Oryctolagus cuniculus: one gene and its partners. The protein of the gene in region 2 purifies or fractionates together with the protein of the main gene of each other region. This does not show direct contact. Links are inferred from orthologs where the notes say so. Each region holds a gene or a part of one and is shown on either strand. Other genes may lie near its edges.

Region 1 (3,199 bases), on a different chromosome or scaffold from region 2:
GTTCCCGATGGACACGGTGGTGTCTCAGGGAACGAAAGGGACGCTTGAGACAAGTGTCTACCAGGCCACCCACAGCTGAGGGCGGGACACGCACAGCCCGCGGCCCCTCCGCCCCGCCCCCAGGGCAGCCACCCTGCCGGCCCCGGAGCTGCCCCAGCCCTGCGGCCACCGCCTGTCCGCGTCCCCGCCGATGTCCCCACTTCTTCTCCGGGGCTTACTGTCCAGTCCAGAAAGCAGCAAGCCACCAAAGCTGTGCTCTTAAAACCTTTCCTGGCAACCCCCTCCACCCTCGTGGTCTGCAGGATGAAGTCCAGCACCTCGCAAAGTGAAACCACACAGCCACCGTCCACAGCCACTCCGTCCGCACCAGAAGAACGAGCGGTTCCCGAGGCCCACGGCCAGCGCCTGCGAACCAACCCTAGGTGGTGACGCTCCTGCTGGAGGCGGGCGTGGGCACCCGTGTTCTGGCTGAACGACAGCTGACCAGGCACAGGGCCCGCCCGCGCACGGCACGGCACGGCTCCCTCGGGAAGCGGCCGGCCCTGCCGAGCGCCCACCGGGAAAAGCTCTCGGGAGCGCATCGATACCCTGATTCCAGTCCGTAAGAAATCACTTATGGATAGTTTAATAACAGACGAACATTTAAAAATCTTCCCCAAAACGTCACTCAAGCGGGCTTTACGCAGTGGTTCTCGGGGGGAGAACACGGTTTGACACTGAACGTTCCAAGGTTTATTGGCTTATCAATCCTCTCACGCGGTCTGAAGTGATGGCTACTGTGAGGAGCGGAGCAGGCGGCGCCGGGGGCGGGGCGGCCGGGCTCAGGCGTCCTTCTTCTCCAGCAGAAGCCGGTGCAGTTCGTCGGCGTCCTCGCTCGTCTTCACCCGGATCAGCATGGTGGCCGGCGTGCTGGCGCTCTTCGCGTCCAGGGGCGGGTTGGGGATGCAGACGATCAGCACGTTGTTTTTCCCGGTCCGGCTGCAGGGCATGTTGGGTGGAACCAGCACATTCAGCAGTATGTTGCCTGCAGAGACGACAACGCGCATCAAAACGGCACCGGCACAGCGGGAGCAGGTCCTCAGCGGGCCACCCGGCTCCTGCTGCCACCTCGGCACACCTAGGCGCGGAGCCTCCGGAGTCTCCACACCAGGCCCTGGGCTTCCAGGGCACAGATGGCGGCTGCGGCGGCCAGAGCCCTGGGGGAGCGGCCTCCTGCGACCCCTCCCTCACTGCGCGCCTGCGGCAGAGCACAGGGTCGCGGGCCGGCACCTCCGTCCTGGGGCCCAGCACGGCTCACAAGGCCGCAGGGAGATCACCGGGTGCCACTGCCCACAGGCCAAGCGCACGGGAGCTAAGAATGCGCCCTCCCCCGGGTGTCTTCGGGCACACGGAGGAGTCCGCTACCCTGCTGACTTCACCTCCAGCCTGCGGCGCCGCCCCCAGCACTTCCTCTCTGGGGACGGTTTCCAGGGTCACACGCCGGGCAGGGAGGGGTGGACAGCCATGTGCCAGTGACCACTAGCCATTTAAAAAGGACTCCCGTCAATGGTTCACTCCTCTTGGTGTGCATTAAACCCCTGACCTACTCTGCCAGCTCACGTTTAACAAAAGGGGACTGAGAGTTGTCCTGGAGACAGCAAGGATGACCTTGGCCTCGACGACCGCTCAACACAGCCGTGAGTGCACCGGGCCCGTCCTCGCACACCCACCTAGGTTGGTGTCGGCCCGCACCAGCAGCTGTGTCTTCTGATTGGCTGTGGGCTTCAGATGCAGCGTGCCCACACCCTTCTCCTTAAACTCATTGTCTTTCTTGTAAAATAGTTTACACCTGTGGAGAAAGAGCGTCGGCGTGAGGAGCCACTCAGCACCAAAGCACGTCACACGGTCCTGCAGCGGCCACCAGGCGCTCCTGGGGACACGCTGGGGACACGCTGGAACGTTCCAGAATGACTGGCTCTGGGACGAAGCGAGAAGCCCTGGCCAGGTGTTGCACAGCCTCTCCCATCCTCTCAGAGCGGAGCCCACAAAGCTCCCGCAAGGACGTCTTAAAACCATCCTCCCTCCAGCACGCCCGGGCACAGCCAGACGCGGCACGCCTCCCCGCTGCTGCTCTGGCCCTGGTGAGCTGGAACAGGCGCTCTGTGCGCCTCTCCCCCAGCCCACTGTCGTCCCTCCGTGGAACTTCCTAATTCCCAAGGCACCTTCAGTGCTGATGTCCCCTCATGCTGACAGGGTCCCGTGAGCCAGAGCCGTCAAGTGGCTCCGAGCACCCACAGCATTTCCTTGGGGTGTAATTCACAAAAACACCAGATGCTCCTCTGATTGATGCTAATTAGAAAAAATCAGTCACTCCTTCATGTCATCTCTATCATCAAACTTTTTTTTTTTTTTGACAGTGAGAGACAGAAAGGTCTTCCTTCCGTTGCTTCACTCCCCAGATGGCTGCAACAGTCGGAGCTGTGCTGATCTGGAGCCAGGAGCTCCTTCTGGGTCTCCCATGTGGGTGCAGGGCCCAAGGACTTGGGCCACCCTCTAGTGCTTTCCCAGGCCACAAGCAGAGAGCTGGATCAGAAGTGGAGCAGCCGGGACTAGAACTGGCGCCCGTATGGATGCTGACAATGCCAAGCAGCGACTTCACCTGCTACGCCAGAACGTCGGCCCCGATACATTAAAACAACAACAGTGGTCTGGGCTGATTTCCTCTGTGGAGATGAGGTCATTCAACTTTCTTTCAGGGATTCTTCTGAGACCAGCAGCTCTCCACAGCGCAGCAGAGGATGGCTCAAGTGCTTGGGCCCCTGCTCCCATGTGGGAGACCCGGATGGGGCTCTCAGCTCCTGGCTTCAGCCTGGCCCAGTCCCTGCCGCTGCAGCCATTGGGGAGTGACCCAGCAGGCTTAAGAATCCTGTCTCTCTCTCTCTAACTCTGCCTTTCAAAAGTGAAAAATAAGTCTTATAAAACCAAATCTTGAAACCGCTAACAGGTGATTTTCTTTGTGGGGGTAGTGGGGGGAGGAGGACAGGATGAGATAAAATGAGGCTGAGGGGAAGACCACACCCCCTCGAGCAGGAAACGGCCAGCTGTGCCCAGCACCTTTCTGACCTGGTGTGTGTCAATGACAGGCCAGGAACTGCCGCACAGCGGGCCCCGGGACAGAGGGGACCCCGCTACCCATGCTTTGGTCCAGTGGCCCGCCCGT
Region 2 (4,265 bases):
AGAGCCTACAAATTTAGTATCTATCCAGACACTTTACAGAAAAAAGTTCATCATCAGATTCTGATCTAAGCTATTGATGGGGGGGTCCCCCCTTTTTAAAATAGCTGGCTGTAGGAACTTGTAAAATAAAAACTGTATCTAGGATGATTCAACATGGATTCCCTTAACTCCAAACCAGAAGACATATCTCTGAAGCACACCCTCCAAAAAAGGGCAAAAATACCCAATTTCCTCTGACCAGGAGGTGGCAGTAGGTTCTTCCAAAGGCAAGGTTCTAGTTTGACCATGGGCTTAAAGTTTTATGCGGCAGCTATTAAGGAAAGTTTGATCTCTCCCCAGAGTGGTCTGAGCCTGACAATCTGCACTCACCCATACACACACAAATCCAAAAGGAGAACGAACAGAACTAACCCCATTCTCCCAACTAGAAAAAAATGACACCATTTCCTAAGGGCATGGGGGAGAAGACAAGGGAAAATTATCAACTTGCATTAAACAGTTACTGCCCATTATGTAGTTGAGCAACCTAACAGATTTGTCTCCACAACTTGAAGCAAAATGACAATTTAAAGGTCAGACATTAAAGGAAAAAATGTTAAACTTTAGACATTTCACAGCAGAGCTAAATCAGAAGTCAAAACAGGAAATCACAAGTCAAATGAACACATGCAGAAGTCTCAAGTACTGGGTAACTGCACTAGCTAGCTGGTCTCAATGGGCAAACATCCATTAACTGACAGTGCCAGACCTCTCATTCTTATTCCAATCTTATATTACACAACTAAAAGCTTCATTTTTGTCCACAAAACCCTTAGACACTTAATCAAGTAAAATTACTATTAAACATGCCATGTCATAAAGCTCCTTGCTATTCATGATGACTCAGCAACTGCTCCAAAACATGCAGTTGACAGCTTAGAATAGTAGATAGCAGTCAGGTCCAACAAAGTTCCAGCAAGGACTAAAAAAGCACTTTATTTTAAGATTCAAATGCTATTTAATTTTTTTTTAAATACATGGGGCAAGAAAAAGCCAAAAAATATTTTAGATACGGGGGCAATGATAAATTATCAGATTCTCAAAACCACACCGTCTGAAAATCAGTGATAATTTGGGCATGATTTCTCCGAAAATTACTTTAGGTAAATACATCCAAAAATAAGCTTTAAGTGCAATCTTTGACACCTGGACTACATTAGCTTGATTTTAAACTTTGTCCAAATCATCCATAAATCTATGCCAAACACTTCACTTTTCTACAGCTGATAAAACAAGTTCTAAGAAAGCACTCTAGGACATTTATTCTTGGGAGAAACAGAAACCATGTTCTGTCTAACTTCCATTCCACAAAAGCATTTGGTTAGGCTATTTAGCCAGGCTGTGACCTGAATTCTAATCTTAAATCTGCCTACAAATATCCCTGCTCCTCACAAAGAAATGTGAAAAACAAGCACTTTCTGTACGTATCAGGGGAAAATTGGTAGGAGTAACGCCAAGCATTGTAACCACGGGTAGAGAACAACTTAACACATACACCAGTTTCCCTCTAATCTTTACTTTCAAATATCTGATAATGATACAACTTAGCACAACCAAACATACTAAATAGTCCAATTCTTTATTATAACCCAGAATAATGAAGGAAGTCTACCTTTAACATTATGCAACAAGCTATCAGACCCTCCTGATTTCTTTTAAACAAGTTTAACACATCTCCCACCTTAGTGTCATTGAAAAAGTTTATAAGTGGCTTTATTAAAATAGGGTTTTAACGTTCTCCTACTCTGTCCTTCTAACAAGTAGCATTTGAAAAACGGAATTTTTCAGAATCAATGTCTCAATTACAATTAGGATAAACTTATTAACTGTAAACGCTCGAGAATGCACACAGTGGCTAAATCATAAGACCACCAACATTACTGGAGTATCAAAAGTTCCTTAACTTGTAGAATACGCCCCATAATATTAAAATATTTTGTGTATGAGATCAGAGTTGGAATCCCGGTCAACTGTGGAGAATGGCCAACTCCAGCCTCCAAAATAAAGGGGGGGGGGGGTAGCGCAGCAGAGAAAAGACGTAAGGGTGGAGAGGGACTTTCAAAATGTCCCGGTGCCATGATAACTATAAGCCGGTGGGGACCTAAACCAATACCCTCAGACCCTCCGAGAATTCAATAGGCTGAGACTAAGTTATTCCACCTTCCGTTTCACACTGACTACCCTCACCCCCACCCCCGCGTGCCTCGGGGGGCCGATCACTCCGGGCAGCCCCCGCTCTGAAACTCGAGTCACCAGAAATCATAAAGGCCTCTCGCCACGGCTTTTTTCTTTTCTCTCCAGAGGACATAATATCTTCAAACCCCCAATCCCTGCCCTCCCCCATCCCACCCCACCCCAAAAAAATGAAGAAATACGCGCATCCTAAGCCTAGACACTCTTTTCCCGCCCTGCTCCGCCCCGGGAAAGCCCCTGGGCCAGAGGGCCGGGGAGAGGCGGGCAGTAGCACACGTGTGCGCCGCAGGGCTGGGCCCGTCCTAGCCCACTTCCCGTCGCCACCCCAGCGGCCTGGGCTTCCAGGCCTTTACTCAGGCCCTCCCGGCCGCTCCACGTGGGGCGCCAGGGCCTCACACTCCCCGGTCGCTCCCGCCGAGTTTCCGACTCCCCCACCCCCAGGCCACGGCGGCGTCGGGGTCCCGTACCTGGTGCTGTTGTCGCCCCTGCTGGTAAGGCTTCACTGGCCCCTGGTGGCAGCGCCGCGTCCTGATCTTGCCGCCACCGCCCCCTCCCATTCCTCCTGCCCCCGAGGCCATGGCGGAGCCTCGGCTGCTTCCCGCTCTGGGGCGGGGAAGGGGGCGGGAGAGGCAGAGGCGACCGCCTTAGAGCCCCCCCCGCCCGGCCCCGGCCCAAAAGTCAGTCTGCGCTGCCCACACAGCGGGGCGCAGGCACACCGGGAACCGCGAGGCTGCGAGCCGGAGCGAAAAGAGCGTGCGCGCAGGCCGACTGCAGAGGCCGAGGAGCTGGCTCCCGTCCGGCAGCCTCCCGCGGACTCCCGCCTCTGTGTATGTCACAGTCTCTATGGAGATCCGCCGCGGAGAATGCCGCGAGCGGCGGCGGACGTCGCCGAGGCCTAACTCGAGCGCCGGCTGCTGGAGGTTCTTCTTCCGTCGCCCTGGCCGTCGCTGCCGCAGTTGAAGCCGCCGGCGCCGCCCGCCTACCCCTCCCCTCTGCGCACAGTGCCCGCCCCGCCGTCGTCGTAGTCGTAGTCCCCGCAGTCGCCGCCGCCGCCGCCGCCGCCGCCGTTGCGCCTATTGCCGCTACTAAGGCCGCTGCCGCGGTCGCGAGCCAGAACGGCGTCATTCGTAAGCGCCCGACGCGTTTGCATCATCACGCTGCGCCCAGGTGATAGGTGAAGAGGAAGGAAGGACCGGTGGAGCCCGCGCGCTCGGCCGCGCGGCCCGCTGGGAAACGTAGTTCAACGAAGAACGGAAAAGGAAGTCGGCGGTTGAGGCAAACCGAAGGAGGGCGAGACCCGAGGCGCGCGGCCGAGCCGTGTTCTTGCTGCTCTTGGCTGTAAATTTAGACTCTGAAGAGGCATGTAACATAAAAATAGTAACCTCCTACCCCGGGCAGAAAGGAAGAAGATAGTAAAATCAAACACAGGAGCTAATGATCTCTAATAAAAATTGGAAAACTGGTTGAGAAAAAGTGGCCATGATTCTTAGGCCTAAAGCAGAATTAGACATTATGTACAGCTTCACTAAGGTTTTGTTAGATATATAAGGGGTTCGTGGTCAAACCCACAGGGCTCTGCCTCTTTGACCTTGGATAACTCAAAACCCAAGCATTGGCTTCCTCTTCTATAAAATGAAAGCTTTAAAGTAGGCCTTACAAGCTGTTGTGAGGAGCAGATGCAATCATCTGTGCATATTTCCTGGTATGCAAGAAATGCAGTACGTGATCACAGTTATAAGCTATGGAGTCGACTTGACATTACAGGTTAGGTGATATCCCAGTACTATATAACACATATATACACATGACATATACACATATTATATACATAATATATACGCGTAATAGACATACACATGCTTCAACTAGCAGGCATTATGTTTAAGAAAATAAGTGCACTACTGCTCCCCATGTAGGACCTCTGTCGTTAATGTGTTGTACTATGTAAATTAACAGTAAAACTACTATTCAACAGTACTTTATACTTTGTGTGTCTGTGTGGGTGCAAACTGTTGAAATCTTTACTTAGTATA
Region 3 (3,647 bases), on a different chromosome or scaffold from region 2:
TGTTTATGCAAATAACACACCATGTTACAAAGGGTACTTCAAAAAGTTTGTGGAAAAACTGAATTAAAAGCATATGTCCATTTGCTTTTCTTTTTTTTCTTTTTTTTTTTTTTTTTTGACAGGCAGAGTGGACAGTGAGAGAGAGAGACAGAGAGAAAGGTCTTCCTTTGCCGTTGGTTCACCCTCCAATGGCCGCCGCGGACAGCGCGATGTGGCCGGCGCACCGCGCTGATCCGATGGCAGGAGCCAGGAGCCAGGTGCTTTTCCTGGTCTCCCATGGGGTGCAGGGCCCAAGCACCTGGGCCATCCTCCACTGCACTCCCGGGCCACAGCAGAGGGCTGGCCTGGAAGAGGGGCAACCGGGACAGAATCCGGCACCCCGACCGGGACTAGAACCCGGTGTGCCGGCGCCGCTAGGCGGAGGATTAGCCTAGTGAGCCGCGGCGCCGGCCCATTTGCTTTTCTTATCTAAGTTTTTCTTAGTATAGAAATCAAAGTTACAACGTTACATACATATTCAGCATTTCAAAAGAAATGGGTTTGAATGTCAATGTATTAATATTACCTATTAGAGTATACACCTATCCTGAATTATAATATCTATTTTTGAGGAACTACAGTGTTAGATTAACTTAAATATTACCAGCCCAGCATACCTCAAGTAAAGGGAAGAGATCTTTATCTTCATCCTTTAACATGTTCCATTTCTGGATCAGAGGAGGCATTAACATCTGAATGTATTCCTATTTACAAGGATAAAAAACATATAAAGCTCCACTATCATAAACATGTCTACTTCGAGTCTATGAAAATTAAAATCCACTTAGAGCAACCCTATAAAATTACAGAAGGGATTCTAAGGTTCATCCTTTGCTTTACATAGTCCTTTTTAAAGTTCTTCCTTTTGCCTATCTTTAATTACAAAACATTGTTCTATTTTTAAGTAATATCCTTTTTGAAACAAAACATATATAAGTAAGTGCACTGTCACATCAAAATGTATCACTTGTTAAATGACAAAGAAGAACCATATATATTTTACTCTCCAGTGACAGAATCTTAGTCCTAAGGTAAAATGTAATATGGCTGTTGCTATTAAAGTGTATTATAAATTGTCAGGAAAAAATTTAGAGTCTTCTGTAGAAAAAGATTCACAATCATTTAAGTGTCTTTATTTAAACTGAAGAATAACTCACAGAACCAAATAACCACAAAAATCATGTAAACAAAGGGAACAGACTCTAAAGATATTCAGAAAACAAAACCCACCCCCCAAAGACCAACCAAAACTACAAGCACTAAAGAAATCAATACAGCAACTGTGCCATCCCAGATTTTTGGTGTAACCGAATCATAATGCAATCACATATTAAATCTTCTATTCTTCAGCAGAGTATTGAGAACTATATACACTCCTAGAGACAAGGTACTTCTGACCATTATTCAACAGTTTTAATCTATTATTCCATTTTCTATTCCTTTAAATAGTGTGCTCCCCATATCTGTATGGCCTGGAGAAAAAAATGTTTAGATGTGGTACTCTAAAGCTACAAGGTTTATGAAGTGAGAGACCCAAAACCCTTTAAATTTAAAAGTTGAAAATTCATCATCTAAAAGCATTACTATCCTTTTTCTTTCATAAAGTACTGGCGCAGGGCAGATATCTGGCCTGGTGAAGATGCAGACTGGGAGGCCCACATCCTATACTGAAGTTCCTGTGACTGAGTTCAGCTTCATTTTTTTTTTTTTTTTTTTTTTGACAGGCAGAGTGGATAGTGAGAGAGAGAGAAAGGTCTTCCTTTTTGCCGTTGGTTCACCTTCCAATGGCTGCTGCGGCCGGCGCGCTGCGACCAGCACATCGCGCTGATCCGAAGCCAGGAGCCTGGTGCTTCCCCTGGTCTCCCATGGGGTGCAGGGCCCAAGCACTTGGGCCATCCTCCACTGCCTTCCCAGGCCATAGCAGAGAGCTGGCCTGGAAGAGGGGCAACTGGGACAGAATCCGGCACCCCGACTGGGACTAGAACCCGGTGTGCCGGCGCTGCAAGGCGGAGGATTAGCCCAGTGAGCCGCGGCGCCGGCCTCCAGGTTCATTTTCTATTCCAACTTCTTGCTAATGCACACTCTGGGAGTTCGGTATCTGTCATCTGGATCAAGTTCCCAGGTCCTGGCTTTGCATTCTATCTCCCAAACAAACCAACAACAAAAAACCAAACCAAACCAAACCAAAAAAAATCAAAAAGGACAGAGAGGAATAAGCATTGGTGCATTCATGAGATGTTGCTGTAGTTTTCACAAGTATGCAGTTATCTTTGAAATCCTACTTGAGAGGGGGATATACGTGTTGCCTTTCCTATCTCCAAAAATGCTTATTTCTTAACATTGATTATAACCATACTCCATCGCTTTTCCATGATAATTGATCAACTGATACTTACTGGTTTGTTTAAATGATGTCCTACCGAATCTGCTAAAGTTCCTATGGCATCATAAAGAATGAGCAGGTTCTTATGCTGGTATTTACTAAATGCGAAGACCAGAGTATCAAGTATGTAAGCAAGGTAAGGAACAAGTTCGGTACAAGCCTCCTCTTCCAGGGTAGCAAAGGCACTGTAAAAAAAAAAAAAAAAAAAAAAAAAGATTAATAAACATGTTATATAAAAGCAATAGTGGTTCACAACAGGAAACTAAATCTCATTTATAGAATATCCATTGAAACTAAACTTTACATACCTGTCTCCTTGCCTCATCACATAAATGCTGATTTTTATTATTTTTTTCTCATTTCTTATCACTTCTTCCTTTCTAAGAGGTTATCACCCACTGGCATCTGCATAGCTACAATGGTAAATTCTAGAACTATAAATGTTGTTAATCCTTTTTCAACAAGTGTATCTGATGTTTAGACACTGAGTGCTAGGACAAAATGAACAAAACAATACCCTCATTTTCAGGAAGCTTACATTCTGGCAACCATTCTAGATGAACAAAGAAAGTCTAGATTAAAATTTAAGCTCTGGCCGGTGCCATGGCTCAATAGGCTAATCCTCCACCTGCAGCGCCAGCACACCAGGTTCTAGTCCCGGTTGGGGCGCCGGATTCTGTCCCGGTTGCCCCTCTTCCAGGCCAGCTCTCTGCTGTGGCCAGGGAGTGCAGTGGAGGATGGCCCAAGTGCTTGGGCCCTGCACCCCATGGGAGACCAGGAGAAGCACCTGGTTCCTGGCTTTGGATCAGCACAGTGCGCCGGCCACAGTGACTATTGGAGGGTGAGCCAACGGTAGAGGAAGACCTTTTTCTCTGTCTCTCTTACTGTCCACTCTGTCCAAAAAAAAAAAAATTTAAGCTCTATACTTTACCCTTCAGGTGCATACCAAGGGTAACAAAATGACAATCATTCTAATGCTCAGTGTTTGAAATGTGGAAGAACACAGCAGTACTGCAGCTTGTCAAGTCTAAGATACACATAGTGCACTGATGCCTAGCAATGCAAACATTACTATAAATTTACAGTATGTGCCATTTCAACTATGAGGACAAATATGTAAGAAAGGAAAAAATTCAGTCTCAGTCTAAGTACTTAAATTAAATTTGAGGCCGGCGCCGTGGCTCACTAGGCTAATCCTCCGCCTTGCGGCACTGGCACACCGGGT

The links.
Region 1: the proteins of NUP153 (region 2) and NUP50 purify together in Homo sapiens (affinity purification with mass spectrometry; 8 studies listed by BioGRID and IntAct, counting the BioPlex papers as one, with this or other methods). This does not show direct contact. The link is inferred for Oryctolagus cuniculus from reciprocal best matches to the Homo sapiens genes NUP153 and NUP50.
Region 3: the proteins of NUP153 (region 2) and TNPO1 purify together in Homo sapiens (co-immunoprecipitation; 3 studies listed by BioGRID and IntAct, with this or other methods). This does not show direct contact. The link is inferred for Oryctolagus cuniculus from reciprocal best matches to the Homo sapiens genes NUP153 and TNPO1.

Annotation. Positions count from the first base shown.
Region 1 is NC_091442.1:119,931,662-119,934,860, reverse strand, and holds the end of NUP50 (nuclear pore complex protein Nup50), read right to left. Parts: intron 1,829-3,199; coding exon 1,710-1,828; intron 1,025-1,709; coding exon 822-1,024; 3' UTR 610-821; downstream 1-609. UniProt on the Homo sapiens protein: Component of the nuclear pore complex that has a direct role in nuclear protein import. Actively displaces NLSs from importin-alpha, and facilitates disassembly of the importin-alpha:beta-cargo complex and importin recycling.
Region 2 is NC_091436.1:144,923,855-144,928,119, forward strand, and holds the start of NUP153 (nuclear pore complex protein Nup153), read right to left. Parts: upstream 2,833-4,265; 5' UTR 2,811-2,832; coding exon 2,700-2,810; intron 1-2,699. UniProt on the Homo sapiens protein: Component of the nuclear pore complex (NPC), a complex required for the trafficking across the nuclear envelope. Functions as a scaffolding element in the nuclear phase of the NPC essential for normal nucleocytoplasmic transport of proteins and mRNAs.
Region 3 is NC_091445.1:38,084,011-38,087,657, forward strand, and holds part of TNPO1 (transportin-1), read right to left. Parts: intron 2,608-3,647; coding exon 2,436-2,607; intron 744-2,435; coding exon 657-743; intron 1-656. UniProt on the Homo sapiens protein: Functions in nuclear protein import as nuclear transport receptor. Serves as receptor for nuclear localization signals (NLS) in cargo substrates.